Linked DNA regions of Canis lupus familiaris. The protein of the gene in region 1 interacts with the protein of each later gene in a biochemical or structural test. Links are inferred from orthologs where the notes say so. Each region holds a gene or a part of one and is shown on either strand. Other genes may lie near its edges. The genes, in order: MYO5B and RAB11FIP2.

Region 1 (3,822 bases):
TGTGTGTGTGTGTGTGTGTGTAAATGAGTGAACGAGCAACGAGCCCAGTGCTGTAGCTCTGAGGTGCAGCCTGGGTTCGCAGTGTGTGCCCCCCACGAGTCACCTACCCCTCCTGAGGACGGTGCGCAGAGGTCACCCACCTCCCAGGCAGGTTCACACACTTGGCCCCAGTGACCCGGGCGTCCCCCCATTATACCTGAGTACTCCCCCCATCTCGTGTGGGACTAGGTTTTGTTTTTCATGCTCCCTTCAGCATTGTTTTTTTTTTTTTTTTTTTTTTTAAAGAAAATCTTACCTTCTCTGATCACAGAAAAATGTTCTTTTTAGGAAAAAAAGTGTTCTGGACGTTTCCTTCCAACCTGTCCCGCACCATAGCTTTGAGCTTTGGTGGTTCAGGGGTGCTGTGGTGGAACGGGGGTGCCCTGACCAGGGCTCCATGCATACTTCAGTGTCCTGGGAATAGTGGCCCGGCAGGGAGGCCAGGTGCCCCCCTTCTGACGTCAGCTGTTCACCCTTCGAGTGGGTGAGGTGAGACCCCGATGCCAACATCTCCCTTGCTCTCATGCCTCACTGAGCCCTGGACAGGTCAGCAGGTGCTGCCCCAACTGGACAAGCGCCCGTGCGGGTGACAGCTTCCCTGGCCCCTCAGCCACCCCAGGGGCACAGCGAAACATGCCCATCCTGCCCGCGAAGGTCACAGTCACCCTGCCTGCAGGTGTCTGTAGAGGAGATGAGCGCTGAATCCCTGGGCTGCCATCCCCAGGGCAGGAGGACATAACCCCCGAGCGCCTGAGGAAGGTTATGCACCCCTTCCCTACCTCATCTCTCCCCCGGTCCTGCCCCGGGTCCAGCATGCACACTGCCCACTCCCCTGGTTCTCGGGCCTTCAGCCTGTGGACAGCAGACAGTGGGACTTCCCAGCCTCTGTCATGGGTGGGCCACTTCCTGAGGGTCTCTGTGTATGTGCATTCACACCCGCACTTCTCCTGTGGGTTCCGTGTCTCTGGAGATACTAACGCACTACAGCTCATGGGACCGTGAAAAGATTCAGTGGGAGCAACGATGTGGAACCCCATAGAAGAGAGTCAGGGGCACCCCGTGACGTTCACGGTGGGGACCGTCTACCCGCCGCTGCTTTAGTCCTCTATCCACATGGGAGGCCCCTGGGGAGGCCACACACCTGCTGGTAGATCCTCCGCACGAACATGCCCCTTGCGAAGGCCTGGATGACAACGGCGGCCCCACGAACCCTCTGGTAGGCCTGGCGGGCCCTCCACATACGGCACTGCTTCTGGAGCACGATGGCAGCCCGTGTCCTCCGCAGGTGCTCAGCCAGCCTGGAAAGGGAGGGGCCCTGCTGATGTGGCCTCGAGGCCCCTGCGAGGCTGGCCTCTCCCTGCAGCCCTGCTGGGACTCTCAGGGCCCAGCTGGCATCAGCCCTCCACACAGCCATGCCATGAGGACTCGCGTGCCAGCCCTGAACGGCTCCAAAAGCTCCCTCCATGTGGTCTGTCTTCCCACAAACCTAAACTCAGTCTGGGTCTGAGCAGCTCCACAATGCCCCTGGGCTCAGTCCCCACTGGGAGCCCCAACTCCAACCTGGGCAGTCCCTGGGGACACCACGAGTTTACGCTCCTGCCCTATGCCCTGTCTCCGGATGTGCAAACCCGGGAGCCAGGTCTCCAACATGCTTGCCTGCGACACCTCAAGAGGGTCGAGCCAACAGGTGCTTGTATGTGTGCTGATGGCATAAACCCTTGCCAGGCCCGCACCCGCCTCCCCCTGCTTCCTCGTCTCCCTGCCCTTTCTGCTGTGACACATGGACACCCAACCTGCCTGCTTCGTGCCAATGTTCCCCTCCGTGCCCCCAGGTGGGATGGCTCAGCCTGACACTTCTCACCCACTTCAGGGCTTTGGGTGGCACCAGGCTCAAAGCGAAAAGGCCCTGGGAAACCATCCAGGAGAGCCTGTGGGGGAAGTGGGGAGGGGCCTGCGGCCCCACCTGCTGGAGTGAACCTGTGCAGTCGAGCACTTTCTCCCCATGCAGCCACCGGAGACACAAACTCCCTCAGGGAGAACATGGACCGACTTGGTTTCAGATTGTCGCCGGCTGCCAGCTAGGGTGAGCTTGCAGGTGCAGGCTGCTCTGCCGGGACCTGCTGGGTGGCTTGACTGTCCACAGCCACCTAGTGCGGATGCTGCTGACAGCTTTTCACCTCTATAGCTTCTGTTCCAGGGGGAGCACCTGGGTGGCTCCGAGGTCACCTCTGGTTCCATTCGGACAAGCAGCTCAGAGCAGGGATGGGAGGGCAGGCAGGGGCCAGCTTCGCGTTTACAGTACAGAGGATGCCTGCTCTGACATGTCACTCACAGGCTTTCTTTTTCCTTCAATATTGCAGCAGATATGACTCGATGGCCACTCCTCCAAGGTAACCCCCTTACGGGGAGAGCAGGTTGTGCGCTGTGGGTAGTCTGACGGGCACCATGCGCCATGTGCCCTCCCAGGGGAGAGGCTCACTCTGCTCTGGTGCCTCATGGGCCCAGGAGATCGGGGAGGAGGGGAAAGGTCTGCCACATGGAGCCGGGTGGGCACCCGGCCCCCACCCACCATGTTTACACAGGTCAGTCCCTAGCTCTGTGCAAGGACGCACAATGGGGACCTGGGGATCCCTGGGACCTTCCCGGCTCTAATTACCAAGTTCCTGAGGGACTGTGGGGGGGTCGGGGCTTAAACCACAATGCTCAGTGGAAGCTGTGAAAGGCGGGGTTTGTCTATCTGAAAGGCTACCCTGGGATTTGGGCAAAGGAAACACGGTGCTTTAGGGGCAAACCCAGCCCATCCCAGGTTAGTGCTGGTGGGATGGGGACAGACTACAGGGACGAAGAGGCTTGGAACTAGACTCAGTCCCCCAGGTGAGAAGTGCACAGGTGACAGGTGCCCAGTCTGCACATCCCCACCCCACACCCCAACCTGCCACCCAGATGGGCCCCAGCGTGGCTCACCTGCGGGCCAGGTGTCCTCGGCAGTACCTCTGCAGCGTTAAGGCCGCTATCTTCAGCCGGCGGTACTTCACCCTCTGAAGCCAGCCCCGGACTGTCTTCTGGATCATGATGGTAGCGGCCCGGAACCTGTCAGCCCGAAGCTTCTCTAGGTAGGCCACCTGGCCGGCCCGGAAGAAAATCTTGGTGCGGCCAAACTGGAACTTGTCAGGATCCTTTAGCAGGCAGGGAGGGGAGCACCAGTGAGGTCACCTGTGCTGCCCCTGTCCTCCTGTGCATGGTTCCCTTGCTAGAGCCCCTTGGATGCTCAGTCCCTCTAGCACCCACCGAGCACACCAAGTTCCCTCCACTAGATTCACGGCTAAGATGTCCGGGGCACAGCTGTGAACGGGACACCTGCCCTCAAGCAGCTGACATCACGGTGAGAGCACAAAAGGCAAAGTTTTCAGGTAGCGGTGAAGATCACGAAGACAGTAAAACTGGGGATGTAAGGGTGGGATGGGATGTTTAAACAGGATAATCATCCAGGAAGGCATTTCTGTGGACATGACATGTGAACAGAAATCTGAATAAACTGAAGGCAGGCAGTCCTAGGAAAACACAGAGGAAGAAAGTTCCAGAAGAGCAGGGAAGGGGCAGGTGTCCTGTGCCAGCCGAGAGCTACATATGTTTGCAGAGCAGGAGAGCCTGGTTCAGGGCAGGGGCGGGGTCGGCAGGGGGACTCAGCAGGGGTCCTGCAGCACACAACGGGACAGGAGGCCCCTGGTCACGCTCTGAGCATAGAAATGACCTCCTCGGGTCCTCTCAAAAAGATTTACCCTC
Region 2 (2,789 bases), on another chromosome or scaffold:
TAGAGATCTTTAGTCTTTACCTCTTTTAATTATATGTGTTACATAACAGTTTATCTCTTCACTTAGTCCTAAATGATATAGTCAATTTCATATATGAGGACATTGTCCACAATGTAAAACATGGTTCTAGAAGGATTTAGAATTACAGTCAAGGCTATGGTGCACCTGCCCTAGTTCTTGCCTCAGGACTGGCCAGCCATGGTGTGAACTGTTGTCTTGGTTCTAGGCAAGGGCACAGAAGAAGCTTGATCATAATTTGAAAAATCAAAAGTTGAAGTTCAAAATCATTCTTAACTTGCCCCCCACTGCCATGTTCTGTCTCCTAAAATGACCCATCTTTCTCCTGCTCCAGGACAGCAACCCTTTTGATGCCACTGCAGGGTACCGTGGTCTGACCTATGAGGAGGTCCTACAGGAGCTCGTGAAGCACAAGGAGCTCCTCAGGAGGAAAGACACGCACATCCGGGAACTCGAGGACTACATCGACAATCTCCTCGTCAGGGTCATGGAGGAAACACCCAGTATCCTCAGAGTGCCATACGAACCATCCAGGAAGGCTGGCAAGTTCGCCAACAGTTAATAAGCCAGTTGTACGACATGTGTGATGAGGGGCAAAAAGGAAAGAAGAAAGAGCAAAAGAAAGCAGAAAATCTTGGCACTGCAAGAAACTACATTATCAGGCTTCATTACATACTCCACTCCATTGCAAAAAGTTATTTTACCTGTAAATATTAGCAGGGACCATCAAGAGTGACCTCTGAAGTGAGCTAAACAATTTAAACATTTAAAGTGAAAACAGGCAAGATTCCCAATGAATAAGCAGTTCTTTAGGATTCACTTAGGTGCTGGCACTGGGCTACTAACCTGCCATAGGCCTAGGGACAGCTTCAGAAGGATGTGACTTATTATTCCTCAGGAATAGAGCTCATAAAGCAGAATTGATGCTGTAGCTGGTTTCTCAGAAGTCCGTTTGTAGACATAATTAGCTGCAGGAATACCGTTCAGTATAACACTAAAAAAAAAAAAAGTTCATATTTTATATGCATATATATGTACATGAATGTATGTTCATGTATCTTTGTATATAAAATACATGCATATACCTCATAGATACATGTGTTTTTAGAACATTTAAAAACAACTGATTGCCTCTAAAATTAGGATACCAGTTTCTTAATTTGAAAATCTATGTGTGCTCTATCGATGCAGAACAAATCATCATTGCTACTAGCACAGTTTGTTATAGGGAAGCTGCTTCAGATCACTCTTGACTTGGCAAATCTTCGTTTCAAAATGAGCTGCTCCTATATATTATTCCAGCATCAGATGTTTGCTCTTTTTCTCAAAGGAATGATCCAAAGGGTTTTGGGTTTTTTTGTTTTTTTTTTTTTTCAAAGCATGACATGTTATAGGAAACTTGACTAGTGTCACAAGAGTACGAATTTCTTGAGTGAATTTTTTATCTTAACACTTGAATTCTGTGTAAGTAGAAGAGAAGCTAATATAGTCTGTTTTGTTGAGATTCTGAATGCCCTTAAATCCCTAGCAAAGAAAATATTAGGAAGTTAGATCTGAAAGTAATTCTAAGGGAAAAAAAGTAGGTGATCGTCTGATGCCTGATAACCCAAAGCAATGGGCAAATTTTAGGAATGAAGAATTCGGCTTGGTTTCAAGTTACATAAATAATAGAACAGATGGTTGCATTTGGGTCTTGAACCAAAATAAGAGCCATTGAAGGAGGAGTGAATTCTTGGAACAGAACTTCACTCGCATGGCACTATCTACTATTCTTCGGCCACCCTTAAGAATTGGTTAATTACAAAATTATATGTACACTCTTTTTATAAAATCCACACCCCCAAAATATCAGGCACTTGCGTGAATTATCTTGATATATTTGTACTGAATTAGCCTGGAATGTAAAGTGAAAACAATGGTACGAAAATATTACTAATCATCTATTTTTTCCCTTAAAAATCTAAAATACTTACTATGAAACACTGAATCCGTGTCTCTGGTTTTAAATGGAAAAATTCACCTGTATATGGAGACATGTATTCTCCAGGCTTTTAATGAACTGCATTTTTGTCTAATATTTTTCTCCACAGACTTTATTGAAAATTCAGTACAAAGCAGAATAGTTTTGCTCATTTTAATATTTTGAATCAGATAATACTTGGCCAAGTGTATATTCATGAGCTAAAATTGCTCGTTTGTATTTTCTGAGTTTCTTTAGTTTTCCTATGAGAGCATACATTTTGAAATTCTGAGAACTTTTCCTAAATACAAAAAATTGAATAATTTTTTTAAATGAAGTGGAGAAGGAAAAACATCTTTTACCAACTTTTTTTTTCCATTTATAAATTTCTGTAGTAAACCTCAAAATCTGGTTTAGAATGCTATTTTCTCATTTGAGGTCTTAGTAATTATTATTTTCTAACAGGGTGCCATTTTTAGTTAATATGTTATTAAATATTACAAAATTCTTAGCACTTTTTTTCTGTTGGTATAACTGAAACTCTTCTTATACTTTTTAAAATACTAATATCCATGCGTTTTCAGTATTATGACAGATTATCTGGAGATATTTTAATATGCTTCGGCCAAATTTGTTCTTTATAAAATGAACCAAGATGTCAGTTTTATATTGGGGATATGTTTTATGTAAATAGAATTCGTTATAAAGTATTGTTCAAATACTACTATTCTTTTTATGAGGAAATTCATTTCTAAGGAGAGGCTCCACACCAGGATGAGACTGTTAAGGATTAGATTTATCAGACGTGAAT

What was found.
Region 2: the proteins of MYO5B (region 1) and RAB11FIP2 form a complex in vitro, tested with the Homo sapiens proteins (2 studies listed by BioGRID). The link is inferred for Canis lupus familiaris from reciprocal best matches to the Homo sapiens genes MYO5B and RAB11FIP2.

Annotation. Positions count from the first base shown.
Region 1 is NC_049228.1:79,032,593-79,036,414, reverse strand, and holds part of MYO5B (unconventional myosin-Vb), read right to left. Parts: intron 3,216-3,822; coding exon 3,004-3,215; intron 1,338-3,003; coding exon 1,181-1,337; intron 1-1,180. UniProt on the Homo sapiens protein: May be involved in vesicular trafficking via its association with the CART complex. The CART complex is necessary for efficient transferrin receptor recycling but not for EGFR degradation.
Region 2 is NC_049249.1:28,717,290-28,720,078, reverse strand, and holds part of RAB11FIP2 (rab11 family-interacting protein 2), read left to right. Parts: intron 1-352; coding exon 353-580; 3' UTR 581-2,789. UniProt on the Homo sapiens protein: A Rab11 effector binding preferentially phosphatidylinositol 3,4,5-trisphosphate (PtdInsP3) and phosphatidic acid (PA) and acting in the regulation of the transport of vesicles from the endosomal recycling compartment (ERC) to the plasma membrane.